Mytilus edulis: one gene and its partners. The protein of the gene in region 1 binds, or shares a complex with, the protein of each later gene. Links are inferred from orthologs where the notes say so. Each region holds a gene or a part of one and is shown in the gene's direction. Other genes may lie near its edges.

Region 1 (7,675 bases):
GTGAAATTTGAAACTTGAATTTCCAAAGAATAAGCAAGTCCAAACCTTGTATGTGTAGTCGTTGAACTCTAGGTTCCCACGTAAAGTTAAAATGTCACTATTTCAAGGAGCATAAACTCACGAAAGCACGAAAAATTCACTAAATTCGTCTTTATTCGCGTTCATTGTTTTGATTTTGACCGCCTGACAACTTTACGGAAATGTCAAAGTGATTGTAAATAAGGACTCTGTGACGGGCAACTTATAATATCCGTGTTTTAAAGATTTTAATGATATTAGCCGGTCCAGTTCAAAGTACTATCACGTGGTACAATTCTCATTTACATATTATGAATATTAGTTAGCAAAACCACTACTAATTTCTGGCTATGTAGTGATAAATTCAGTGAAGAACAATACGAAGGCACTAGAAACTATTCCTAGCAACACCGATACATACAAGAACTCTTTCTTTGCCAAGAGCATACTTCACTGGAACCAACTGGAAGACCGTATTGTATGCGCAGATACCGTTGAGAGCTTCAATGCTGCTCTCCAACACCGTTCGTGATAGGTGTCTCTCTCCCGTTGAGTAAAAGCTAGAATTGGTGTCTTCAACGTACACATACACGGATACAGATGGTGGTCACAGACTTGCGTAAGTGGGGCTGGATTTAGGGAGCTACCATTTTTTTTTGGAGGGGCTAGTATCAGTATCAAATTTGGAAAAAAATGCAGGACAGGAGTTTTTAGTAAAGATCAGTAAAAATCAAGACAGGATGAGCAACTTGGCAAAACAAAAGGCTGGATGACAATTTATGTAAAAAAAAATCAGGATTTAATCCGATTAACTAATAAAAAGGCAGAACCGAATAGAGTGAAAAATAAAAAAAGTAGGATAGAGATTACAACTTAATAAAATGCAGAACAAAATGGTTACCCCCTCCCCCCTTAAAATCAAATGGTAGCTCTGTATCTGTATGTTACACAGTGCAGGATCCGATCGCGGATATATGCGCACTGGAAGGAAAGCGGGTTGGTTAGTCCAACCGTTGGAGGGCAGCCATGAATCCCTCAACTGTCTTTTGACATGCAATTTCCTCGTCCAGATGGTTCCACTCCACTATTGTTTTTGGTAAAAAAGAGTTCTTTTGAATGTCTGTTTTGCAGTCTATTAAATTGTACGATCGATCTGTTATTTCTGGTTTCTTGTCTTTCCACGATGTTTGTGTATTGAAAGTCACTAAAGGTTTTTGCCTTGACTTTTTTTTTATATAAATAAGGCCGTTAGTTTTCTCGTTTGAATTGTTTTACATTGTCTTATCGGGGTCTTTTAAAGCTGACTTTGCGGTATGGGCTTTGCTCATTGTTGAAGGCCGTACGGTGACCTATAGTTGTTAATGTCGGTGTGAGTTTGGTCTCTTGTGGACAGTTGTCTCATTGGCAATCATACCACATCTTCTTTTTTATATTGGCGTTTGTTTCTGGTCTTTTGCAGGTAATTAGTTGGATCAATAGCCGTCACCAATCCCTCAAACACTTTGTAGAACAAAGTCAGCCTCTGATGTTTCCTTCGTTCTTGGAGAGGTGGTAGTTTTAGCTTAGAAAGCATAGTATTTGTGACGTACCCGGTGTCTCTGGATTTATAATCGTGCAAGATGAAACGTGCTCCTCTTTTCTGTATACTTTCTATTTTTTCTATTTCCCTGATAGTGAATGGGTCCCAGATGACAGCACCGTTTTCTAGTACGGATCTTACCATGGCTAAGTAGGCAAGTTTTTTGCACTCTTAGGGGCACTGACGCAGGTTTCTTCTCAGGAACCCTAGTGTACAGCTTGCCTTGCTGGTTGTTTTCCCTATGTGACTGGTCCATTTTAGGTCATCAGATATGTTAAGACCTAGGTAAGGATTTGTTTGTACCTGTTCTAGTATGTGTTGTCTAGTTGGTAGAAGTGTGTTGATTTTTGTTTGAAGCTCATTATATAGATTTTTTTGCGTTAACTTTCATTTAGTGCCCATACTTCCAGAGCTTTTAGATCTTCTTGGAGAGTTTGATGGTCTTTTGTGTTGTTAATCTCTCGATAGAGTAGGCAGTCGTCTGCAAATAAACGAACTTGAGATTTTACGCTTTCCAGGAGGTCGTTGATGTGGCATAGGAAAATCAGCGGTCCTAGTACTGTGCCTTGTGGTACGCCAGAGTCTACGTGAGCATATGCTGAGTACTAACCTTCTACGACAACCCGCAATTGATAGTTTTTGCAGGAATGCTGCTAACCATTTGTTAAGATTACCATCTATTCCGTAACTGTTTAATTTAGCCAGTAGTTTTTCATGTGGCACAGTATCAAAAGTCTTTGAAAAGTCGAGTATAGCCATATCGAGTTGAATGCCACTGTCGAAACTCTTTAGTAGGTCTTCTGTTGTGACCACGGGAGGGGGAGGAGGGGGTAACTTCGATATTTTTTTGGTAGGGGTGTGCCATTTTTGCCTCAAAAACATACCCATTTTAATACAACATTCACTGAAATTCAGTACCTATAGTTATATAAATATTTAAGAAAGAATGATCTATACTTATATACAATATTACATATTATGAAAATCATATGATAAAATTATAAAAGTCTTGTTTATAAGTTAAAATCGTTTCGGAATAGCTGTTCTGTAAGATTCTCAATAGCATATTTATATATGATATGTAAATCATACCCATAATCAATATACAGTTATCAAACGTAAAATTAATGCATTTTAATATAAGATGTCATTAAAAAGGAGGGTCATTTTTATATAAAATCTCGCAAAATTATGACTCATATTTTTGGCACATCCCCGTATACCCAATAATAGGAAGTGACCCCCCCCCCCCCCCCTTGTGGTTGTGACTAAGAGCTGTGTTGTGCAAGGTGTTTACAGATGATGTGTTCCAAAAGCTTACATATTACACAGGTCAGTGAAACTGGTCTGTAATTCTCAGCTGCGTGGACCGTGGCCCCCTTCTTAAAATCTGGAGCTATGTTTGCACTTGACCAATCTTCAGGGAGAGTGCCTGTGTCAATTATTTTTTTAAAGATGGCGGAGATGCTAGGTACTAAACCTAAACTAAAAACTTTTAACCAAGCAGAAAGTGACCTACTACAGAAAGATCTGACATCATTAGAGGAATGGGAAGATAAGTGGCAAATGAGCTTCAATGCAAAAAAATGCATTGTAATTAGAATACATCCCAAGAACCGTCCGGTAATACCAACTAATTACAAATTACACGGACACACACTGGACACCGTTGAAGCTAGTAAGTACCTGGGAGTTACTATCAGCAACAATTTAACCTGGGACAGACACATCGACAACATAGTGGGAAAAGGAAACAAAACACTAGGCTTCATACGACGTAACTTAAAGGATTGTACTAAACCGGTCAAAGCAGCAGCATATTCAACAATAGTAAGACCTTCAGTTGAGTATGCTTGCACAGTATGGGATCCTACGAAACAGGCTAAAATAAAAGCAATCGAACAAGTACAGAAAAGAGCAGCTAGATTCGTAAACAACAACTACACAGACCGCACACCTGGCTGTGTAACAAAAATGGTAACATCTTTAAAATGGGAAAGCCTCGAAGACCGCAGGAAACAAAATAGGCTATGCATGCTGTTCAAAATCCAACATGATCTGATAGACATAGATAGGCACCAATATCTGACACCAAACGATAGCCGGACCAGAGGTAAAAACCGCTTCTTCCAAGAAAGGGCCACAACAGACGCCTTCGGACAATCATTTTTTCCAAGGACCATTAGAGACTGGAACCAACTTCCAACATCAGCAACATCAGCTGACACAGTTGATGGATTCAGAGCTGCCCTGAAGGCATGCTCTGCTAAAATTTAGACAGTAACATCCTGTAAATAGTTTTAATTGTATATATATAGAGAACGTTTTATCCTGTAAATAGCCAAGAGAAAACTTTCTGTGTTGTCCGACATTGCGTTAGTTTTCGCGGGACCTCATACATTCAAAATTTGAATTCGGTTCCTTACCTGGAAGAAGAAGAAGAAGAACCTGCATTGATGATGTCATTAATATATAGCCCCATTCACAGTGCTTTTCTAAATTGGCGTTTGCAGTCTTTTTGGAATTGTTTATATTCTTTGTAGCTTCAAGTTTTTCTAGCATGTTTGTGCAACCTTGCTTTACTTTTTAGCATTTTGCGTAGTTTTCTGTTTAACCGTGGAACAGAGTGCTTTTTCTTTATCATTTTAGATGGTACATTGGTCACAGTGTCAATTGTTGCCCGAGTGTACTACGTTCTTGAAGGTTTGCCAGGTTTTATCTATTGACATATCGTGTATATGATTATAAATGTACTTTGTTATGTTTATGTCCGTTTTAATCTGATCCCAGCTCCCTTAATCCAGAGACAAGTCACATATACACATATATATGTCTCTACTTAATCAGACTGTACCCGATGTTCTGTTTTCATAATCAGCTAAATCAAAAAAAAAGAATTTCCTAACCAAATTTGTTAACAAATAACCATGTTATTAAGAAACATCAATGCTTTGTTATGTTTTGCACCAGTTATTCGTAAACTGCATTCAAATGAGTCTTTATGTCTCATTTCATTAAGGAACTTAGCTGTCTTTGTTTTTCCAAGTGTTTAGCTTGTGTCATTTGTTATACCGAAAGACACTCTTCGATGTTGGAGGTACAAAGAACTATCATTTCCGGTAAAAATAAACGCATGTGAATTTTATTTTTGTATTTTAAAATCGCAGAAAATGTTAACAACAAAGACTTTTATCAAGAAGACAAAGAAAGGGAGTATTATAAAGATTGTGCGAGAACATTATCTCCGTGATGACATTACATGTGGATGTCAGAGTTGTACAATCTGCGACAAAAACGATGTCAAACCTTTGGAAAGCAAACCTGTCAACAAAAGCAAATTATGCAAGAAGTCACACTATCTTATCTTGGACACCAATGTAGTTTTTCATCAGGTATAAAATTTACAGGTTCTTTGTTTTTATTATTGAAATCCAGGGTAGTTACACCCACATTACAATGCATTATGGCACATACCTGTTTAAGTGTTTAGGATGTTGATTACATGGATCAAGATATGTTTCTTACTATTTAATATGAGGCAGCATTACCTGTAAATGGGGACGAAGTCTGTATGAATTATTTTTTTTGTAACTTAAATATTTGTTAAAAAAGAGAAACGGAAATACTGTAACGTTTCCTATTTTGGTTCTGTTGTTATTGATTTCAGTTGTGACGTTATTTAAGTTATGACGTCATATGCAATGTAAAAAAAGAAACGCTATCATCAGGTAATGTTTTTTCATATCAAGGAATTATTAAAAATGAAATTGGTATTGCGTTCCTTCCTATTTTATACTAGACTGATAAGTATATATTTTACTCAAAGTTTCATACAAAGGAGACCGGAGAAAGGAAGTACATTGTAGATTTCTGTGCAGGTGCGTGAATTTTTTTTTTTTTTTTTTTTTTTTTTTATTGATTTTTCTACTGTTATTGGGGACTTTGTCCCCATATAAATCAAGAGTGCATCCGCTGTTAGAATATGTGACATGTCTCTGGTAACTGTACCTTTAAAAGACATCCGCAAACTGGAATTTTTACAAAGAAGGGCATCAAAATTAGTAAAAAATATATATCATCTTAATTATGAAAAGACTACGTTCACCTTGGAATATCGTAGCCTAGGGATACATGTAGGAATGATAAGATACAAGTCTTCAAAGTGTTGCATGGTATAGATGACATCAACTGGATGAGCCTATTTTCTTTAGCACCATCTAATAATAATACTAGAGGTCACTAATTAAAACTTTGGGGGGCTAGGATGAAATTTGAAAAAAATAGGCAGGACAGGAATTTTGAGTATAAAAAAAAGAATGCAGGATGAGACACTTGCAAAAAAAAAAGTCAGGATGACAATTTAGGTAAAAAAAAAGTCAGGATAAACTAAAAAAAAAGAAGGCAGGATCGAATAGAATAAAAAATAAAAAGGCAGGACAGAGATTACAACCAAAAAAAAATGCAGGACAAAATTTTTCATCCTAGCCCCCCCCATAAAAATCAAATGGTAGCTCCCTAAGTTAGCATATATTTAAGAGTGATCTCTCTTCAACCTGTTAAATTAGGTATTGAGTATTGTGGAAACAGTTATTCCCATGATTATTTAAAGCTATCAAATGGATAAATGCTCTTTTTGTTTTGATATTTATTACAGTGGACATCTCAATTGATCAATTCCAATTGAAATATATACTGAAACAATTGCCACTTTAGAGATATGTGTTAAGGAATGAGCTCTTATCATTTCTTTTTACCAGTTTGTTTGTGAATGTTTTGTGAATGTTTGTTTTTCTTGTCAAGTGATTTTTCAGGTGCTTGCCTTTCACTTCATTCAAATTTTATGGTCCCAAGAAATTGTTTTGATATAGTTATATTTATGTATGCCATATGATGTAAAAACAGTATGTCTTCATAGAACACATATTATACATGTACATACAAGTATATATATTATTTTAGAAAAAAATTTAGCATTTTTTTAGCTATTTTTTTACACAAAGTCACACGCCCTTTCGGTTGGGATTTTGCATGTTTTGAAAAATGGTTGACAATAAGGGATGAACCCTTAAGAAACATTTATATAAGATTACATATGTCTTGAATTTTTCTTTTTTAAACCAGTTTTTTTTTAATTTTTCAGATTGATGTAGTTGAAGATCCCTCAATTCAGAATGTGATAGTTCTACAGACAGTTTTAGAGGAGGTAGGGTGTATTAGACTTGTTAAATGTTACAATAATAATATATAATAAATAAAGGCCTTTTCCATAATGTCAATATTTTTGCTTTTGTGTGGAGGGTTGTTCAGAAATTACTTTTTTAATCCACCATTTCAGCACTACAAAATTCAAATTCAGATTGAAGGTTCTTACAGGACAACCTACATTATTCTTATATTTTCAGTATCTCCCTCCTCTCTTTTCTTGTATTGACAAAAAATAGTAGGTTTCATGTGGATGTTTGAAATCATGGTTTTGCCAAAGTCTGCATTCAAGCCTTTTCAAAATTTAAAATGGATTCAATGTATATTCAAATTTACAGTTCACTTTTACCAATGAAATCCACGATATTTGGTAAGCCCGGAATCATGATGAATCCACAGTACATGTTAAATGATGTAATTAAGGAGGTAGACCTAGGTTAAGGGAAATAACTATTAAAATCATCAGTACGTTTGTGTCAACCATTTTCATAAATATATTCTAAGCTTCTAGGTTACATAGATTATTTCCAATCTGTTTCAGGTAAGTGCTTAAAAAACATTGATGAAACTTGACTTTAACAAACACATAACTGATTTAAAGAGTTGTCTCCCTGAACAAAGGTCTACCACCTTAAGTGCATATATTTACAAATATATTGTTTTGTAAAAGTTTTAGTACACATAGTTGTAAAGATATACGTATGTATATAAACATTGTTATTTTACTTTTAAGTTTAATAAATTAATAATTTACCTACAATGTAAATCTTTAACAGATTCGACACAGAAGTGCTCCTGCTTACAAGAGAGTCAAAGACTTCATAGCAAATCCAGACAAACATTTCTACACATTCTGTAATGAATTCAACAAGTAAG
Region 2 (7,523 bases), on another chromosome or scaffold:
CATCATCCCCAAAATCAATCCCAACCTTCATTTTGTGGTATTGAACATTCTGAAAAAATTTCATAAAGATCTTTTCACTTAAACTATAGTTATTATCCGGAAACCAATGTGTCTTCGGACGACGACATCATACCAATATACATGTACAATCCCAAAAACTTTTTGGGGTCGTATAAAAAGCGTCTGGCTTGTGGACTCGAAAGTTAAGCGTGAAGGCTGCCAAAATTAAATTTTTACTCCAATGTTGAAAGAAACTTTATCCCCCATTTTAAATGAAGACCACCTTTTGTAGTTATCCCTTACATGATGAAGTTTCCCCTTTTTCATTTAAAAAGGGGGGAAAATTTATCATAAAAGGGACAACTACAAAAGGTGGTTTTCTAATTTTTAATAATAAAGCCATTACAGGAAATAGAAGTTGATAAGGCCACAATTAAAAATATTTTGGTTTGCCCAAACCCTACAAGGTTGAGACAGTGGGTAGGTAGGTATTTTTTTTTTTTTTTAAGAAATTGAAGTACATTGTATCGGATGTTTATTAGTCTTCATGCCTATCTGATTAAAAAAACCTTCTTCTAATCAGGACAATAACAGAATTTGAGTAGGCAGTTTTTTCTGGGTAGGTAGGGCAAACAAATCTATTCTTTTTTATGGCCTAAATATTCCAAATTTCAGGGACATGTATTCTTTGAGAAAAGTTTCAACAAGTTATATAACTACCATGCAGTCCAGTGTATTTGGCACCTAACTTGTGACAAAAGACTTCACACAAGATTTTTTTTAATTATTAAATATAACTAAACTTACAATGTCAATGGAGGTTTGAACGTCCGGTTATAGTGATCATGCACACCTGTCGTGATCATTAATTTTTTTAAATTGCGAAAAGAATGTTGAACAATCTTAGACAGTGTGATTATGTTCGTCCTTAAAATATATAAAAACTAATTTAATATACCTAGGGGAACTCATTCTTTTGTAGACAAATGTTTTAATGCGTTCAAAAATTTATGCAAGGAACTACTTCTCATAATGTCTGAACAATCGTCATTTTTTAGAACTGAATTACTGAAAGCAAGAAATATTAATAATTACCCTTTACGGTCTGATCGTCCAGAATTGTGGTCTCTTCCTCTGTATGACATAGTTTGTGTTTTGTTCTTCAAATTAGTTCTTAATGTAATTTCTTGTTTGGAGGTCTTCTTCCTCACTGTACGTCCGTTGTTCAATGGACTCAAAAAGAACGCATGAGTGTCTGTATTAATGCGCGTAAATTACGTCATTCATTTGTTGATTCTATGTTCCATTAGGTAACCAGAACCTCACTCTTTGGTTATAGTAAGTAAATTTTATTTAGAGTCGGTATATAAATACATTATACATATAGCTGAGACTACTTTATTGAATCATTTAGGCAGCAACCATTTGATTTTCTGGGGGAGGGCTATGGATTTTTTTTCTGGACAAACTTTTTTTTTCGCCTGCGGCGAAAAACAATGGGTTTTTTTCGGGACAAGTCGAAGACAATTTTCTTCTTTCAATTTTAGCATTACATATAGTGGCAGCTGAGGGGGAAACAAACAATTTTTTTTCTCAGAATCAAAAACAATTTTTTTTCCAAAAAAAATCCATATAGCCCCCCCCCCCCCCCCCCCCGAAAATCAAATGGTTGCTGCCTTACTGTCTCACTATAACTTTTAGACAAAAAAATATCAATTTGTACATATTTTTTGAAATTAATGGAAAACCTAAAATTCACGGATTTTGAAAAAAAGGAAAATATTGTTCAAATATTACGAAAAATATTCCAGTGTTAATCGAGCTTTCGAGACGTTTCGGCTATATTAAACCTGCTTGGCCAAAGGTCGTTTCGGTCATACCCACCTTCGTCCTTGGTCGTTTCGGTCATACCCAACTTCGTACTAACTTGATGATTTTTATACATTAGCGAACGTGATTAAATTACCATAGTGATCTAAATACAGAGAGATCATAGTGTCAAGTTGACAAAGACTATTAAAGACCTTGGTTGTTTCGGTACATTATGTCTATCAATGTTTTGAATAATTAAGAGGTAGACTAAGTAAATATTTCTTTATATATTATACTTAATAAAGAAAATTCCGGCACATCAGTACGGCAAATTAATAATATCTCATTATTTTCATAAAGGGTAGGCCTATACAAAAATAAATGTATGGACGAAATGGAGGAAACGTCTTTTTCTCACATGTCCGAAATGGTACACGGTCGAATGGACTTTCTCACATGTCCGAAATGGTACATGTGAGAAGTGGCTTTTAGCCGAAACGTCTCGGCTTTAGTAGTTTCTACCATGTCCGAAATGGTACATGGTCGAAACTACTAAAGCCGAGAAAGTTCCGAGACGTTTCGGCTATAAGCCATTTCGGCTAAAGGTCCTGCGTTTCGGTAAACCCAACTTCGGTCTTGGTCGTTTCGGGACATTATGGCTATCGATGTTTTGAATGAGAAACTAGGTAAGTAAATATTTCTTAAATCTTCATTCCTATAAAAGTGTCAAAAAAACTATATTCAAAGTTATAAAGGGTATAACCGAAATGGCCGAAACGAATTTTTTTTCATCAGTCATATGGCCAAAATGGTACATGGTCGAGACGACTATAAGGCCGAACCTGATCCATGACCGCAACGGAAGGTCGAAAAATTCTTATTTTATGAATACTGAGGTTAATATGTATCCTTTTCTGGATGGAGTGTAATTTCCATTTTAAAAATTATTAATATCTCCATTTTACGCTTTATACACTATTCGATTTTTTTTCTCAAGTTAACAACATTCCATCTCTACTGCAGTAATGTATACCAATAGATCCAGCCTATTCCATGAATTTCATTTATGCATGTGATCATGATGTACAGCTCAATGATTACATTTGACCGTTTTAATAGGGGAAGTGGAAACTGTCGTAGAATCGCCTTTGAAGTCTTTAAAGAATGCTCATAATTACTTAAAGCAAACTTGTTCAAACGTCTTAACCTTGTGGTCTTCTTCTTCCATTCTTCCAAATACGAAAAAGTATAACATGAAATCCGCATGGAACCCCCCTTTTTTTCTCCACCACAACCATCACCACACACACACAAGAGACACAAGAAACAAGCCATCTTAACGCTCTTAATTACTATTATTTATACACCAAACATTTGCAAAGTATATTATGTTATGTGGTCAAATTATATTTTTCCCACTCTTGACGCGTGGCCAGAATTGTACATTATAGTATGAAAATCGTAATTGGTAAATATTTAAGCATGAAACTTTTATCTTCTAAATACTATACTATTGATCCACAATACATTGAAATGGAAGGATTTTGTCTATGTGTAAGTGAACAATAATTATTATGGAAGACTATAAAGACCTATACAAATTAACTACTTTCAATTTTTATTTAAAAAAGTAAACTGATGTTTAAAATTTAAATTTCGTTTATGTATATACTTTGACCTTACGTAATACATGTATGTGTCTCAGCACTGTCAATAAATCATGATATCTTCAAAAATAATAGACGCATTCAACATTTTTATTTAAATATAACCACACACTATGTGCTACTGTATATGTGCTGATATTAGACATTTGTTTTAATCTATCTTGCTTAGCTTTTATTCTGCATGTGCTATCTATGTATTAATATATATATGTGATGTCTGTATGTTTGTGTTGTATGTGTATCTGATGTTATTACATGTAGGGGAGACTGGGGTTGAATGTGACACAGGTTGAATGAGACAGTGACTGTAAATCTTCCTTTAGAGAAAAAATTATGGAATATTTAGAAAGTTTTCGTGAAGTCTTTTTCAAATTGCATCGAGATAGAAATGGTTATGCCATAGAAGCGTTTTTGAAGATTTTACGTACCCCGCACACGGGGTAGGTTGTGACATGCGACAACCCCCATTAAATCGTCAGATGTGACTTAAGAAATAGCTTTAGTGGATTCAAATCCTTTTTAAAATGTACACGAGATGTTTGTCTAGTTTGCTAGGTCTAGTGAGAAAGCTGCGTATAATTGATTTGTATGTATAGACAAGAACATAAAAAGTGTCTCATTCAACCCCGGTCCCCCCTATGTTTTGTTTATTAATATCAGTCGGTTAAAGAGCTCTTAAGAGCTCATGTTCTCTGTTATTATGTATATATATGCAAACCGACTTTAAATAAAGATTACTTTACTTTACTTTACTTTATAGTGAACATATAGATTTATATCATTGGCTTTTTTAGGCTATGTTGCACATTTTAACATAAAATGACAACTCCACCGTGTTATTAATTTTATCGACAGATTACGCAGAAAATCATTTACGAATTGAAAAACTGTTCAAACCATTTAAATCTGATCAAATGTTGATTTTTGATCTGATGTGCCTTTTTTTAATTAAAAAAAAAAGAAATGTTAGAGAACTGTGTTTTACGAGGATTTTGTTTTGAGTAAATCGGTTATCATTCGGCACTCCTTTTCTTTTTCTATCCTTTTTCTTTTACATCTTAGATTTACCTCCCTTTATTTCCAACAAAGTGTTTGAACAGTTCGCAGTTTGATTGCATATTCTACCAGTTACCTTATTAATGAGGCTTGAATGTAACCATTTTATATATATTCTTTCAAAACTATTATCCATCATCACTAAAGCTTATTAAAAAAGGACACAGGGATTCGTGTGAAATTATAAAAGTAAACACGTGTTTTGCATGTATGATGTTTAATGAATAATAATAATATAATAATATTTTATTCAATAAAATATCAAGCATATCTATAATTACAATACACAATACATATATGTACGATACATAAAGACAATACTAACACATATATGACGCCTTCCTATGACTTTCTCGTCCCAGAAAAAAAATTAAAATAGCCTTGCCAGACGTCATAATTATTTGGACTAGGATAACCCATGAAAGCTCTAAAGCTTGTTTGCAACGTGGTCCCTTCATGTAAACGGCTTATAGTTTCGACATACAAAAAACGATAACACACAAATTAATAATAATATGACATAAAAATAACTTGTATAAAAATATGATTAATAATATAAAAAAAATTCTCGCCTACTCTTTCTGTTAATCGCAGGCTCAACAAAAATGAGTAAATAAATCAATAAAATATTCCTGTTGATATTATCTTTAAATTGTAAGAAGCTTCTGTTTAAGTTTGGTAAAAATCCAGGATAGTTTATGAATCTAATACTGTTTAAAAACTTTTAACTTCAGACTAAATGTAATGTCAACTGGAAGAAAACTAAATTTCCTTCTAGATACTAGCTTTTGATCATAAACAAGCTTCTGTCCAAGTTTGGTACAAATCCAAAATAGTATAAGAAAGTTAAATTTTAAAATTCTAACTACAGAGTGAATGTGTTGTTTCCTGGCAGAAAATCTAAGTCCATTTAAAAGTAAAATACGAAAAAAATGGAATTTTATTTTTACAAAATCCTTCTAGATACTAGCTTTTGATCATTCACAAGCTTCTGTCCAAGTTTGGTACAAATCCAAAATAGTATAAGAAAGTTATTTAAATTTTAAAAAGTTTAACCACAGAGTGAATGTGTTGTTTCCTGGCAGAAAATCTAAGTCCATTTAAAAGTAAAATACAGAAAAAATGGAATTTTATTTTTACAAAATTTACTTCTAGATACTATCTTCTGATCATAAACAAGCTTCTGTCCAAGTTTTGTACTAACCCAGGATAGTTTAAGAAAGTTATTAAAACTTTAAAAACTTTAAACACGGAGTGAATGTAATATTTCCTGGCAGAAAAACTAAGTCCATTTAAAAGTAAAATACGGAAAAAATGGAATTTTATTTTTACAAAATTTACTTCTGGATACTAGCTTTTGATCATTCACAAGCTTCTGTCCAAGTTTGGTACAAATCCAAAATAGTATAAGAAAGTTATTTAAATTTTAAAAAGTTTAACCACAGAGTGAATGTGTTGTTTCCTGGCAGAAAATCTAAGTCCATTTAAAAGTAAAATACGGAAAAAATGGAATTTTATTTTTACAAAATTTACTTCTAGATACTATCTTCTGATCATAAACAAGCTTCTGTCCAAGTTTTGTACTAACCCAGGATAGTTTAAGAAAGTTATTAAAATTTTAAAAACTTTAAACACGGAGTGAATGTAATATTTCCTGGCAGAAAAACTAAGTCCATTTAAAAGTAAAATACGGAAAAAATGGAATTTTATTTTTACAAAATTTACTTCTGGATACTAGCTTTTGATCATTCACAAGCTTCTGTCCAAGTTTGGTACAAATCCAAAATAGTATAAGAAAGTTATTTAAATTTTAAAAAGTTTAACCACAGAGTGAATGTGTTGTTTCCTGGCAGAAAATCTAAGTCCATTTAAAAGTAAAATAAGGAAAAAATGGAATTTTATTTTTACAAAATTTACTTCTAGATACTATCTTCTGATCATAAACAAGCTTCTGTCCAAGTTTTGTACTAACCCAGGATAGTTTAAGAAAGTTATTAAAATTTTAAAAACTTTAAACACGGAGTGAATGTAATATTTCCTGGCAGAAAAACTAAGTCCATTTAAAAGTAAAATACGGAAAAAATGGAATTTTATTTTTACAAAATTTACTTCTGGATACTAGCTTTTGATCATTCACAAGCTTCTGTCCAAGTTTGGTACAAATCCAAAATAGTATAAGAAAGTTATTTAAATTTTAAAAAGTTTAACCACAGAGTGAATGTGTTGTTTCCTGGCAGAAAATCTAAGTCCATTTAAAAGTAAAATACGGAAAAAATTGAATTTTATTTTTACAAAATTTACTTCTGGATACTATCTTATGATCATAAACAAGCTTCTGTCCAAGTTTGGTAGAAATCCAGGATAGTTTTAGAAAGTTATTAAAATTTTAAAAACTTTAACCACAGAGTGAATATTTGTGGACTCCGACGATGGAATGTAGGATTGCTTAGTCTCGCTTTTTCAACTATAGTCGAAGGCTCGACTAAAAGGAGTCTGATGAAGCCACACTATAACTTTTGGTCAAGTGCTCTTTGACGCTACTTTTGAATTCCTTTATTTTCTTTATTTTTTTTTATCAATAATTGGCAACATATTCCAATCTTGTATGCCATTAAAATAAAATGTGTCTTTTTGTTGACTCTTAACTGGAGGAACCCAGAAGTTATATTCGCTATTTCGTGTGAAATGATGATGTAAATGTCTCACATTTGTAAAATTTGAATACATATAATCAGGACAATGGTGGTAATGAATATTATGTACATGGTTTAATCTCAATTGTTTAACACAATTTTCAAAGTTAACATAACCAATACTATTCAATACATTATGGTCAACTTTTGATCTATATCCAGTGTTTTTTATAAATCTAACACATTTGTTTTGTAGTACTTGTAACTCATCTTTATATTTTTTGCTGACACCAGCATACCATGCAGAACAGGCGTAGTCAAAATGACATTGAATTAAAGCTGTAACTAAAGTCTT
Region 3 (6,954 bases), on another chromosome or scaffold:
CGTGACGTATTAGCCCGATTTATTGAATTCTGGGAAAAAATAAAATCTGTTTAACTCTTATAGCTTATCGACAAATATACGTAATTAAAAGCACACAGCTGACGAATGGTCGTAGTTATTAACCACAATATAATAATGAACGAAAATGAATATGCATATACCGTTTTGTATTCATTGAATTAAACTCCTATAAAATAATATGTCTCTGTCTCTAGTAAATGTTTTTGAATACATTTAATTAATTATTGTTGAGATTTTATTCATAAAATATTTATTGAACATTTTTACTATTTACTTGTCTATTTACCGTTATTGTTTTGATAATCATTTTAATGCAACTAATGTGTGAGCAGAGTGTGTATATTATTTTGTAAAGGTCACTGTATATTTCTCGGTTTGAGGTCAATTCGTTTACCTTGTAGCTATTTAGCCGCAGGTGTGAGTTCAAGCGTACACAGGTATAAATGTTGTTATTTGGAAAGGATATACAGAAAGGATTAGAAAGAGTATGATGTCACGATGTTAATACACTAAGATTTAATACACGATGAGAATAAAGATTCAATAATTAAATTGTGTAAATTAATTGAAAATAAAATTCAGATTCGTAAATCCGAAAATGTATAAAAATAAAAGGAAACAATTTTTGATTACTTTCTTAGCGGCAATTGGCGTAAAGATTCAAATATGAAGTAAAAAATAGTAGTTTTAATCTTTAATAAAAACTAAATGCAATATTACCCAATTTGATATACCATTGTACATCTGTTTGATATCATTGACTTTATACCGGAATTTCTTAACTTGTATTCAAATCTGGCTGTGTTTAAATGCTAATAAAACTATTGCAATTTTAAAGTTTTTAATTGACAAAAAAATACAACATACATAATTTTTTTTTTTAGTTTCTTTTTAACATTTTATTCTTACATAATTAAATTCATTTGACAATCATTTACACGAACTTTTTGTGAAAAAATACCAATTATCTAAGCTAAGGCATTATTTTTTTTTAAGGATTTTTGAGGATTTTTTTTTTTAATTCTATGATAATAGTTGTGCAATGTTGAACATGATAGCCGTCATTAATCCAAATAAGTAATACAGTAGTTGTAATAAAAGTTATATTTTAGTCATGCATAACTGATATTGACAAATTTAGAATAGTTCGTCCATACATCGTTGTTCTTGAAACAATCATTATTAGTATACATGTAAGTTTCCTGACGTATAAGAGCCATTGAGGATGAGCTCCAGAGAAAGCAGACTAGTAGCGTTTCGTTCGTTTGTTTGTTGGGAAAGGAGAGGAAATGCAACCGCTTGTACAGATAAACAACAGAATTACCATACAAGCATTTATAGTCAACACAATCAGAAACAGTTCCCATCGTTAGACGGGGAATATGAAGGCTTTCAAGAATGAACAAGTGACATGTCTTACTCGAACAGTTAGAAAACGGACTATCGACATCCGATCGACCGCTTGTTCTTGATATTTGAAATTGTATGCATATATACGTATACGTTTATGATAGTGATGAGTTCTTGTGTCTGACAAAAACTAAATTCCTTCATGGTTATATCTTGCCATACGTTTATATTGGTTTGTAAGGTGATTACTCAAAATCATTATTTGAAAATCCTGTTTGTGAGATGTATATTCATTTCAATACAGAAATTTCGTCTATATATTTCACAAGTGTATAACACGGAGAAGCTCTGAAGGTCCATTACTCCCATTTTGTTTGGGTGTGAACCATCGATGTTGACAGCAATATCAAAGAATAAGATGACGATGGTAGAAAGAACTATGGGCGTCATGTGGCAAATATTACATGCATATCGGACAATGAGTTGTCAATCTGTATGAAAAGATTTCCAATACAACCATATTATTGAGAAGGAATGTTTACATGCTATACTCTCGTACTAGTATTACAGGGTTCTTGTGGCGTTCACCTTAGACACACATCTTTTTTAACGATGTTTAAAAAAAAGACAGAACCAATTTAATGTCATATTTCCCTATTTTTTTAAATATAACTAAAAGTCTTTCATCTGACAAGAATACCCCTATTTAGCGGACAAGTAATTTATTCTTTTTTCTGTTATTGAATACCAAGAAAAAAAAAAATCCCGAAATTAATTTGAAACTTTGATACTCTAAAGTTTCCCAGCAAAATATTCACATCCCTTCGGGATAATTAGTGTTCGTCCAGTGGCATATATAACAATTGTGATGACGAATTCCTTCCTTTGTTCGAGAACAATCTTATTGAAATATAAATCTGTGATTTTACTATGTCCACAACTTCAATGAACCAAAGCAAAAGTTATACATCGACCTGTATTTAAATCAAATTGGTTCTCTTTTTCTTCTGGTATACAATAGTCTATCGACATTCGATGATTACATACTGTTGGCATACGTGGACTAGTCTATTTACAACACTTTTACCCCTATTTATTCAAAATATATGTTTTTTTCTTATGTTCAATGTATACATGTATATATTTTAAATTGCGCTATAGTTCCGTAACTTTCTATCCAGTCGTATAAACGAATCGTCGGCAAGTGCGTACATTTTTTTAAATCAATATTTCTGGTATGTTCCAATCTGTCCTTCACTTTTGACAATGAGTATATATTACATTTTCCCAAATTCACCCTTGGAAAAAATATTTAAATAGATTTTAATTTCATCAAATCTTATTTTTTGGGTATTATTTATATTTTTATGAATAATATTCTTTACACCAGAAATGTTATTTATAAACAAGCGTATGAGTTTGGTAATGACAAGTAAGACAGAGTTGTATATTATACATCTGATAGTTCAAAATGGAAAGTTAAATGTTATCAGCCGTGTACACTGATCAATACCTGCAGAAGTGAAACGATGCGTGAACTTGCAAGCCCGACAGGAAATCGCTTGAATACCTGCACGTGTCACCTCACACCCCTCACAATACCTTTGGAAGTAATACCTTTAGCCATGCTGGTGATCAGAAGAGGGAAGATCAAAATTTATTTGAAAACAGTTTTTAAAGAATTATGAACAAATTAGATTTTCGAAAACAATTTTCACGGAACACTTATTTATGATTTCAACTTTGACTTTTCACCTAATTCCAATATCAAGTTTAAAAACAACAGACCATGGTTAGTTAGTCGGATAAAACAACCGTACGATTGACAAGATATCGACACGCAATTACGACTACATCGGTTACTGTAGTTTTGTTTCTTTGTGGTTTATAGACATATCGTTTCATTAATCGGGAAAGAAGGACAAAATGGCGGAACGCAGAGAATTAATACCCTTAATTTAAAATCGATGGTGATCGCTTATCTAGCGGAATAAAACTTTAATATCTATGAATTTGAGCATTTTTATACAGAATGAACATAATATCAATTTTTGATTTTTTTACGAAGTTTCCCTTTAATACATTTCTATATATATGGTCTTTTTTTTCAAAAATATTCATTATACATGTAATCTCATAAATTCGTATATAATTTTAATAATATATATAAAGTGTTTTTTTATTAAAGTAAAAAAATAACAATCTACTAATCGTAGTCCGAGTTCGTTCAATATATTTCTGCATATAAATAATGGTAGGCCGAGTTTGTTATAGTCCGAGTTTGTTATAGGCCGATTTTGTTTTAGTCCGAGTTATCCAGCAGCGGACTCGCACTATAACTGTATAAGTCTTTAACCAAGAAAGAATATAAACATTTACTGAGACAATTTACCAAAAGTAAAACTCCATTATCTGTAGCAATTGCTACTGTGCCATCTTCCGACCAATCTAGAGCATTATAACTAGATATTTCGTGAGGAAAAAGAATTTTATCCCCTCCCGCCATCTTGAGGAGAAGTCCGAGTTCGAAATGATAGGTCTTTATTGATTGGATAATATCTCGATCTTAACCAATCAACGCTTCTTTTACAATTGTCGAGTTCAATTTCCATGCCGTTGTAAATATTGGGAGCATGGCAGGAGTGAATCTTTTGTCAGATCAAGGCTATAGAATAGATGGCAGAAAACCAAATGAATTAAGACGGATCCAGTGCAAATTAGGTTATTGATTTGTAATTTGACGCACTTCGTTTTGGATACACGAATCACTAGTCCGAGATTACTCTGACGTCCAACGGCTGTTTTCCCAGCTTGTCTGGCAAAACAGCCGTTGGACGTCAGAGTAATCTCGGACTTACGAATCACAAGAGGCCTTTAAATTCTCCATGTCATGTTTTTTTTTTAGAAGTTACGCCCCTTTGAAATTATTTGCTTCAATTCACCTCTGCAACAGTTTGTCATCACAACTTCTCTGAAACTACACAACAGAATTTCATGAACCTTTGTAGATAATAAGGACATACTATGCAGATGTGCATATCGACTGGAAATTATGATTCAATTTTTTTTCTTCAGTTACATTATTTTATTTCTGTTGGGACGTGGGGTATCTGAGCGCGCTCACTAAGGTTCTTTGAATTATTCAATTTTCTTCTGTCTGTATCTGTATCTGTATGTGTACGTTGAAGATACCAATTCTGGCTTTTACTCAACGGGAGAGAGAGACACCTATTGGCGGTGTTGGAGAGCAGCCTTGAAGCTCTCAACTGTATCTGCGCATACAATACGATCCTCTAGTTGGTTCCAATGTAGTACACTCTTGACGAAGAATGAGTTCTTATAGGGATCGGTGTTGCTTGGAATAGTATCTAGTGCCTTAGAATTGTTCTTTACTGAATTTGTCACTATATTGGCACATACAAAATTGTCAAATGTTTTAGGTTTGATTTTCCTCTTGGGTTTACTTTTAACAAGAAAATCGTCGGGATTAATAGCTGGGACCAACCCCTCAACCACTTTGTACAGAAATACTAGCCGTTGACTTGTTCTTCTTGTTTGTAGGTTGTCTAGTTCTAACTCGGCTAGCATTTTGGTGACCGACCCCTCTTCTCTAGACCTATAGTCGCCTGTGATGAATCTAGCTGCTCTGCGTTGTATTCTTTCCAATTGATTTATATCATGTTGTGTATATGGGTCCCATATTATGGCACCATATTCCATAGTTGATCGTACTAATGATATATATGCGGTCTTATTGCAATCTTTTGGGCAGAAGCGTAGATTTCTTCTTAGAAAGCCGAGTGTCGAATTGGCTTTCTTGGCAACGTTTGAGATGTGCGTGGTCCATTTTAGGTCTTCTGATATTTGTAAGCCTAGATATGGGTTGTGTTGGACTTGTTGTAGTACATGTCTGTCTAGGCTGTACATCTTCTGGCTTTTATTCTTAATGCTAAGTATATAGCACTTCTTTGCATTGAAGCGCATGCCCCAGTTTGTGGCCCATACTTCTAGGTTTTGGAGGTCTCGTTGTAGGAGTGTGTGGTCATGTTGACTATTTATGTTCCTGTACAGGAGGCAGTCATCTGCGAAAAGTCTGACAGATGATTGTACTGAATCTGGAAGGTCGTTTATGTGGCAGAGGAAGAGAAGGGGTCCTAGTACTGTACCTTGTGGTACACCGGAGTCAACTGAAGCTTCTTCTGATTCCTCCCCATCTACGACAGCTTTCATTTTCCTTTGGGTTAGGAACATCTCCAACCATTTGTTTAGTGGTCCTCTTATACCGTATTCGTTCATTTTGTGCAGTAGTTTGTTGTGCGGCACAGTGTCAAATGCTTTGGAGAAGTCCAGTATAGCTACATCAATTTGTTTTCCTGCGTCGAAGGCTTTCATGAAGTCGTGTAGTGTGACTAGCAGTTGGGTTTCACAGGAATAGCCTGACCTGAAGCCATGGTTCGTCATTCGTCATGCAGGGTACCCCATTCCTACCCTCATGTACATTTTGATTTAAATTATGTAACAAGACCCAAGTATGCCTGAATTAGACTTTTAGTTCATTTTAAAGGCCAACCTAGGCTTATAATTTTGAGGACAATAAGCTTGTGAATAATTCTTAAACTACAGGTATCACTTATCCTTTTGAAGACAAGAAAATGACAATAACAAAAAACAAAACATAAAATAAAAAGATCAAACGATAAAGTGTTATTATGAAAGTTGGTTGTAGTTGGAAGTTTAAGGACTTCATAACTTGTATATCATTATTTCATTGTAGTTAGCATAACAATTTTTTCTCTCTTTCCTTCAGGTGTATTCAAGCAGGCAGATGGATCAGCATACATTGAACAAGGAAATACAAAAGTGCTGGCCACAGTCTATGGTCCACATGAAATCAGAGGGAGCAGAGCAAAGCTGTTACTTGACAGAGTATTGGTTAACTGTCAATACAGCATGGCTACATTTAGTACTGGGGAGAGGAAACGTCGACCAAGAGGTGACAGAAAATCACAAGAAATGACAATGCATTTAAAACAAACATTTGATGCAGCAATTATGACAAATTTATATCCACGATCACAGATTGACATTTTTGTTGAAGTTCTCCAATCGGATGGTGGAAATTACTGTGCTAGTGTAAATGGGGCTACTCTTGCTCTGATCGATGCTGGTATTCCAATGAAAGACTTTGTTTGTGCTTGTTCAGCAAGTTTTGTAAATGATAATCCTATTGCTGATATAAACTATCTTGAAGAATCTTCAGGTGGACCTGAATTAATTGTTGCAACACTACCAAAATCTGACCAGATAGTTTTTCTTGAACAGAACTCGAGGCTCCATGAGGACAATCTGAGTAAAGTTATTGACTTAGCAGTGAAAAGTTGTAAAGATGTTTACACTGTCTTAGACCAAACAGTCAGGGATCATGTTAGTGAATTGTCTAATTCACATGGATGGGATCATTAAAATAAATTGCTTCATCAAAAAATGTCTCCTTTACTGGCTGGTATTTGTGTGTTTCAGATTTGTTATATTGTTGGGTCGGTGTATCTTACATTAACATACATGTATACCCAGATATGCACG
Region 4 (7,868 bases), on another chromosome or scaffold:
GGAGAAGATTTTTGTAAAAGTTAACGACGACGGACGACGACGGACGCCGGACGCCAAGTGATGAGAAAAGCTCACTTGGCCCTTCGGGCCAGGTGAGCTAAAAATGCATTTTACTCCTATGTTCTATTTTTAGCCATGGCCGCCATCTTGGTTGGTTGGGCGGGGCACCGGACACATTTTTTAAATTAGATACCCCAATGATGATTATGGCCAAGTTTGGTTAAATTTAGCCCAGTAGTTTCAGAGGAGAAGATTTTTGTAAAAGTTAACGCAGGACGACGACGGACGCCAAGTGATGAGAAAAGCTCACTTGGCCCTTTGAACATTTTTTAACATCCATGACAATGAAGTCAAGGTCACCATCAGATAATCCTGCAAGACAGACATTTACACCTTAAAATTATTATTCAATCAATACCAGTTGACATAATGCTTCTAGTATTTGAAAAACACACCAAAACACAAAACTTTACATTGACCAATGAACCAATGAAAATGAGAGCAAGGACAATGGACATACATGTATGACAGACAAAAAAAAAGATATTGGTATATGTACCCACCTACAAACATTGTTCCAAGTCCTTTAATAAAACACCTTGACTGGCATACATCTTTGTTCTTTACAAACTGAAAAAAAAATAATTTAGGGTAACAATCATCTTATTAAGTAATTTAGTAATTCAAAAAGTTAGGAATCTTTGTGAGCAAGCTCACATACCCCACACCCCATGTTGCAGTCTTAGTCTAAGTTCAAAGGGGCATAACTCCTAGAAACAAAACTGAATAATAATTTCCTGTCAATATGCCAATCTACATACTGTAAATTCAGAAATTTGTGCATGCATTTATTATTGCTATTTTGTCATTTCAGATTAAAATGTGATATTGATGTTTGCGATATTGAGAAATATCCTGTTCAATTCATATACATGTATATACAAATCTTCAAAATGTGAGTTTAAATTAGGCCATGTTCACATTGACCTAAATTCGGTGTTGTGTTAGTGTAAATCACACGTAAACTAAATACAATTGCGTTCCCATTGATAAAACTCAATGTTTACATGTAGTTTAAATCATGTTTTATCTACACACAGTCGATAGTCAATGTAGGCCTTGTGTAGGTTAAGTGTACACAAAACTAGGCATTTAGGACATTAGTTTTACCGTGCATATATTTAACGAGGAAACAATTTTTGAGTAAAATTGATATTTTTGATAATTATTAGTATAGTTCTTTACAGAAATTGTTGTCTAAATTTTACAGATTTTTTTTTGTTAAAAAAACTTAACGTACCCTATTAACCCCTGATCAAGACTTAAAGCAGCATCATTGCCGAACCCATAAGGCAGCAACCAATTGATTTTCGAGTGGGTGGGGGGGCTATTATAGTTGAGTATAAAACATAAAAGCAAGGGGGTGGGGGTGTTTGGAAACAAGTTTTTGGCCCTATAATTGTTTGTTTCACCCTCAGTTGCCAATATATATAATGCTAAAATTGATTTCGACTTGTCACCAAAATTTGTCCTGAAAAAATCAAAAGCCCACGCCCCCTACTCTCCCCCCCCTTCCCCTCCCCAAAAAATGAAGTAAATAGTTGCTGCCTAATTCATTTGAAAAGGTCTTCCTGAATCGACTTGACGTACACAGAAATATTCGCCACTGGTCTTTACTCAAACAACGATTCACGCATAAATGCACGACTAAAGAAAGTGTGAGGTAAATGATATGTTTGTCTTATATCTCAGATCCGTTAAATAAAACTTCAAATAAATTTTAAAAAAAACGTTACCCTATTCCTTTACCAAATACTCCTTTGAGAAGAAATACCATCAAGTTGAAACAAACAGAAAAAATTAAAATGTAGTGATTCCTAATATCTCAATCCTTTTTTTTTGGCTGTAAGCACGCTGCTGCAGCTAACGTTTTCTAATGCGTAATGGAGACATCTCTAGTATATTCAAACTACTGCAAATTATAAAAATGGCTTTCATAAAGTAGCAACCACTTAACTTTAAAAAAAGGGGGAGGGTTTTTTTTTTTTTTTTATCTGAGTCAGATTTTTTTTCGCGCAAACCTTTTTATTCCTTTTTTTTCGATGCTGGTGATCAAATACTTTTTTCCATATTTAACACTATAATGTATGGGGAAACTCTTGATTCAGAATATTTTTTTTATCATCTGTATGACCTTTTTTTTTTTTTTTTTTTTATCAAATTGGGGATCGGAATATTTCCATTCCCACCCCGACTCCCCTTTTGAAGTCAAATGGTTGTTCCCTTACCGCTACAAAAATTGTCCAAAAATTTGAAATCAGTTCTACGTAATGAACATTTAAATGACATATAGTTTACAAATGGGAACAAATCTTATGTACAGGTAGCTAAACAATGTGTATAGATGTGAACAAATGTAATGTGAAACCAGTGTACACTACACTAAACTAATTGTAAACATGTTTACTCTACACGGCGTTTGGTTTGAACACGGCCTTATTCAGATTAGGCCACACCAATTTAATTTCTTGTTCTACAGATTTTTGGACTCCAAAATTTGGGGCGAGCAAGCGATTTGAAAATTTTTAATAAAAAAATATTTAATTTGCAAATTTTTGAGGCGAAGCTTGAAAAGTAAAGGCGAGCGATTATAATTTTTTTTGTAAACATAAAATAATAGGTTTTGATAATATTAAAACTTGATTTACCACTTGTACTTTGACATTTCTTTAATTTCTGAAGTATTTTTTCCCTGTTCACCAAGAAATAATTAAATCTGGTCTATGTATGTGTGACTGACAATGAGACAATTCTCCATCCAAATCATAATCAGTTTGGGGGCAACCCCTTAATGTTATAAATATCCCTTTTACATGTTTTATGAGGGATCAATATAAGTTATAATATATTTGTTTGTACAAAAGAGCTCATATTTTCTCATAGAACTATATATCTATCTGGTATTAAATGGTCAAAACATGTCCAAGAATTTTGTAATATTCCTGGACTTTAACCATGTTAACACTTTACTTTAACAGTTTAATATTATTCAAAATAAGTGGACCCCTCTTTTAGAAAAATTTGTTTAAAATATGATGTAACTCTCCTCTTTTTGAGTACAAAATTCGTGTTCAAAGGTTTATATAGCAGAACTATACAAATCCTTAGTATTTCTATTTTCTTTTCTACATCAGTAAAATGACCCCTTGTCTGAGGGAGGGTTGTTCTCAACCTGATACAATGTAATTACAAACACAGGTCAAAGTACAGCCTTTTACACAGGGCTTTGATACAGAACAAACAGCAAGCTATAAAGGACCCCAAAATTATTACATGTAGCGTACACAATTCGAACAGGAAAATCAACGATCTAATTTATATATCCAAACGAAAAAATACCAATGATCAACATCAACAAACGATAACTGCTGAACGACATGCTCCTGAATCAATCAGGACAGGTGCATAAACATGCAGCGGCTATGGATAGTTTTGTTTCGCGAGCATACAATATAATTGCAGTTGAAGGCAAATCCTTCAGAAGTTCTTTGTACTTTATTCTAACAACGAACATCTTTTGATAGGGAATATAAGTAAGGGGGAAAGAAACCAATTTTTTGTTCTTCACGGAAATACCCGCTGTTATAACTTTTTATCGGAGCACTCCAGGTTTCATGCTGAAACAAATATTCTCACAGATATTTACACAGTGTGGTGGGGTGCTTTTATGTTTAAAATCATTATATACAGGTTACACTGTGATTTAACAAATGTTGATATCTTTTTATAATATTTACAAAAAAAAAACGGTGCGGGAAATGGACATGATTACAATTCCGGATGCGGGAAGCGGGAATATAAAAAAAATAAAAAAATTCTGTTTTGAAAAAAATAGGTGCTGGCGGGTCCGTCGAACAAGGGATCAAATTGGTGTGGCCTTATAACCCGGTTACATTTTTCGCAATAATTAAAACATTGAAATAGTGCTTGCCCTAAGTCAGGAGCCTTTAATTCAGTGGTTGACATTTGTTGTTGTGTAACCTCTTAGCTTTTTCGCTATTTTTTTGTGAATAAATTAGGTTGTTTGTTTTCATGTTTGCATTGTTTTACATTTGTCACTTCGAGTGTCCCATTTCTCAAGTACTTTTAATTTTATTGCCGACTATGCAGTATGGGCTAATCTAGTCCAAATAAATATGAAGTCTGACAAGGCTATTTAAATTTAATCCTGGGACGCCTTCCTACGACCGAAGCATTGCCAGACGTCTTAATTATTTGGACTAGGGCTAATCCTATACACCTTTATTGCTATTTGTCCGCCATTGCTGGAAATCACACAGGTTCCCGTAAAAATTTGACGTCATAAAACAAAATATCTGACGCCACAATGGAAAAGTGATTGTTGTTGACGTCAAAAGTTCAAGCGGCCGGCCGGGTCAGCCGGGATTAGCGATAAGGTGTATTGTTGAAGGCCCTACTCACTAGCCTACTGTAACCTATGTTGTTATTTTTTGTGTCATTTGGCATCCTGTAGTGAGTTGTGTCATTGGCAATCATGCCTCTCCTTCTTGTTTTTATATGATGCTGGGAACAGTATATCTATGTTCCTGTATGATGTAACTGTGAAAAAACTTTGTAAATGTGATTTGACAATCATGACAATTGAATGGTATTGTATAAAGTAGATTTTAATTACCTCGGGTTCATCTTGCATGAGCAGCTCCTCGAGCTTGCTAGTACGAGCTTCTGCAACTTGTTCTTCTGTCATCTTTTAATTTGATGAAATTATACAACGTGATTCTTCATTGAAAATGAAAGGTCAAATATTCCGACTAAAATTTCGATGATCCTCTGGATTTTACATAAGATTTCACGTCGTTGTCCTCAGAACGTTTGGAAGTAACCAGTTTTTAATCTTTAAAAATAAAAACATAAACGATGAGAGCTGTAAACAAACCCGCAAGGAAGCAGCATGGTTGATATTCGTGTTGTTGGAGCCAGAGATCGTCAAAAGCAAGAGTTCACAGAGGAAATATCGAACCTTGTGTGTCCAGGCGATGTCATTACTACAGATACTGGTTTCATGCGGTAGGAAATGGATGACAATATTTGAACAACATGAAATGAACATAAATTTTATTTGTCGATTATTTAAAATGAATAATTTAGAATTATTCATTTTGGCTGTCTAAATCATTTAAAAAAAATCAGTATAATCATTCCCATTTATACACCGGAAAGAGGAGAAGGCAGTATAGTTATCAATATTTCACTTCACTGTTATTGTAGTCCTAATATTGAAATTTTATAGACCTTATCGCTATTTGGAAATCTAGGCTGCGCCGCTTGACCCAAGAATCTACGCCTCTTGAACTTTTGACATCATACAAGAGAGTTATAATGGAGGTACCAGACTTAGTAACCTTCACTATAGATTATTGTAAAAATTCTTGCCAAATGTGGCTAACGGTAACTTTTGGTTCATGACAATAAAATGTACCCTTTCATTTAGACGATAAAAAATCGACTGCTTTTGAGGAATGTTATCAGGTCCGTTCCCGCTCAATACACTGTCATACCCTACACGCTTACACCTCACATGTTCGCCCCTGATTTTTGTTTGTATGTAATACAGTGATCGTCATTATGCAGGATTAACTAGAATAATGTTTGTTTTGTAAGTACTTATTAACAATTCCTTAATTACAGCAGTGCTGATTGTCAATTATTAAAATACATTTTTGGTGCAATATAACATTATAGTTTTCCCGGTCACTTGCTCAGCATTGGAACAGAAGTGACGAAGCACCTAACGTACAAATGGTGTTCACTAAAACCAGAGTTTTTGACGACAATGCATCAAACTCGAAAGTTGTCTATTTCGCGACTGGGTGACATTTTTTTCAAAATGCCAGTACCTTGTGTTATATAATCATGACAACTAAAGGTATACAGTAAAAAAAATTCTGATACAAGTGCCTGTATTGAAGGTGTATTATTATTCAGGGACATTTATAATGCGAAATTTCAGCTCTTTTTGTCTCCCTTAAAAACTTTTTAAAAAGTAACGATTTGGCCTTTATATGTACTTGAGAAATAATTATATTTTATATTTTATTGGCATAATTTCAGTGGTCATGGAACGTATATGGAGGACGAGAAACTTCATGCTTCAGTAGCCGGTGTTGTGGAGAGAGTCAACAAATTAATATGTGTAAAACCTCTTAAAACAAGGTAAACATTAGCAATTTATTGGTCAGATTATTTTCACTATTTCAACAACAGAAATAAAGAGAGGAGGAATGAATGCAAATAAGACAACTCTCTATCTAAGATTTTTTTGCTTTAAGGTGTATAATTTTTCAGGTACATGTATATTGCCCAAGTTCAGCTCTTCTTATTGTTAAAAGTAAACAATTAAAGGTCAAAGTAAGGCCTTAACACAGAGCCTTGGCTTACACCAAATTGTAGCAAGTTATATAAAGGCCCCAAAATGACTAGTGTAAAACAATTCAAACAGGAAAACCAACAATCTAATCTATATAAAAAACAAAAAACACTTATGAACCACATCAGCAAACAACAACCACTAATGAAATGTTCCTTTAATACATTGTATATCTCTATGTCAATTTTTCATTTCAAGGTACATATGTACTGTACTAAAAAAGTTTTTTGTCAGTCATGTCGAAAGAGAATAGGATGTTGTAAGCCATGTTTACAGCTATTTTTCTTAGTCATAAGAGAGTTGTTTCATTGACACTCATCTTTAATCTATAAATATGCAAAACAGTGACAGTACTGTCCCTTTGATATACAATGTTTTTCTAAGTCTATGTTACACATCATGTGTAGGTTATTTCATGCACATTAACACCTTCACCCTTGATTGGTAGGTTTATAGAAGTGGTAACACATAATTATTTTGTTAATCCATAGATATAATGGTGAAGTTGGAGATGTTGTGATTGGGAGAATTATAGAAGTGGGACAAAAGAGATGGAAAGTAGATACCAGATCAAAGTTAGATTCCATATTAATGTTGTCATCAGTTAATCTGCCAGGAGGAGAACTTGTAAGAATCATTTGTCCTTTTAAATTACTAATATAAAAATAAGTTCAATGATGTGATATGACTGCTAATGAGACAACTCTCTACAAAGTTCAAATGAAGTGGATGTAAGTTGACTTGTATGTGGACAATTTTGATATAATTGATGCATACATGTAGTTGTACATATTTTTAAAATATTCAATTTCAAGATTACAGTTTCTATTATAAAAATAAAGATATGGAAATTCTTCTACAGTGATGTATAAAGAGCCTGATTCCAATGATAAATCATGATAATGTGTAAATTTGTAATCTTATTTGTACTATATTTCATGTACAATGCATTTTTTTTCTTGATGAATTATCTCCCCTTGATTTTTTCAAAATGAAAATACTTCTAAACAGCATACATTAAGTTTTTGCTGTTTCTATTGCTAAATGGTAAATGACATATTTGTGTTGAATTGACTTTTACAGTGATGCGAAAAGTGATTTCAATGATAAATCATGATGCTATTAAAATTTGTCGAAGTTTTTGATTCTTTCCCTTTTCTTTTTTAGAGGCGAAGATCAGAGGAAGATGAGAAGATGATGAGAAATTATCTTAAAGAAGGAGACCTCATAAGTGTATCCTTTTAAAAATTAAGATTGCAACAAAAAATTCAGATGTAAATGTGCACAAGTTTTCAGACTAAGTGGTTGTCACATATTGCAAACTAATCAAGGTCAATAACAGATTTTTGCATTCCATAATTTTGTAAAGAAATCTGGTTCATATGGCTCAACCTTTAGCATTGAATATTGTTTTCCAAAC

What was found.
Region 2: exosome complex exonuclease RRP44-like (region 1) and exosome complex component RRP46-like share a complex: the UniProt entries of both Caenorhabditis elegans proteins name them as parts of the RNA exosome complex. The link is inferred for Mytilus edulis from reciprocal best matches to the Caenorhabditis elegans genes dis-3 and crn-5.
Region 3: exosome complex exonuclease RRP44-like (region 1) and exosome complex component RRP41-like share a complex: the UniProt entries of both Caenorhabditis elegans proteins name them as parts of the RNA exosome complex. The link is inferred for Mytilus edulis from reciprocal best matches to the Caenorhabditis elegans genes dis-3 and exos-4.1.
Region 4: exosome complex exonuclease RRP44-like (region 1) and exosome complex component RRP4-like share a complex: the UniProt entries of both Caenorhabditis elegans proteins name them as parts of the RNA exosome complex. The link is inferred for Mytilus edulis from reciprocal best matches to the Caenorhabditis elegans genes dis-3 and exos-2.

Annotation. Positions count from the first base shown.
Region 1 is NC_092348.1:60,052,987-60,060,661, reverse strand, and holds the start of exosome complex exonuclease RRP44-like, read left to right. Parts: upstream 1-4,663; 5' UTR 4,664-4,767; coding exon 4,768-4,989; intron 4,990-6,737; coding exon 6,738-6,800; intron 6,801-7,575; coding exon 7,576-7,670; intron 7,671-7,675. UniProt on the Caenorhabditis elegans protein: Putative catalytic component of the RNA exosome complex which has 3'->5' exoribonuclease activity and participates in a multitude of cellular RNA processing and degradation events. Has both 3'-5' exonuclease and endonuclease activities.
Region 2 is NC_092352.1:17,383,331-17,390,853, forward strand, and holds the start of exosome complex component RRP46-like, read left to right. Parts: upstream 1-4,523; 5' UTR 4,524-4,631; exon of another isoform or gene 4,632-4,724; intron 4,725-7,523. Other genes in the region: uncharacterized protein, read right to left, coding at 1,096-1,145. UniProt on the Caenorhabditis elegans protein: Non-catalytic component of the RNA exosome complex which has 3'->5' exoribonuclease activity and participates in a multitude of cellular RNA processing and degradation events. Involved in apoptotic DNA degradation.
Region 3 is NC_092351.1:28,687,944-28,694,897, forward strand, and holds exosome complex component RRP41-like, read left to right. Parts: upstream 1-3,949; 5' UTR 3,950-4,004; coding exon 4,005-4,092; intron 4,093-6,178; coding exon 6,179-6,834; 3' UTR 6,835-6,856; downstream 6,857-6,954. Other genes in the region: general transcription factor 3C polypeptide 4-like, read right to left, coding at 3,764-3,877. UniProt on the Caenorhabditis elegans protein: Non-catalytic component of the RNA exosome complex which has 3'->5' exoribonuclease activity and participates in a multitude of cellular RNA processing and degradation events.
Region 4 is NC_092345.1:3,685,899-3,693,766, reverse strand, and holds the start of exosome complex component RRP4-like, read left to right. Parts: upstream 1-4,845; 5' UTR 4,846-4,972; coding exon 4,973-5,088; intron 5,089-6,132; coding exon 6,133-6,234; intron 6,235-6,939; coding exon 6,940-7,075; intron 7,076-7,615; coding exon 7,616-7,681; intron 7,682-7,868. Other genes in the region: uncharacterized protein, read right to left, coding at 564-630, 4,697-4,768. UniProt on the Caenorhabditis elegans protein: Non-catalytic component of the RNA exosome complex which has 3'->5' exoribonuclease activity and participates in a multitude of cellular RNA processing and degradation events. Involved in regulation of antisense ribosomal siRNA production.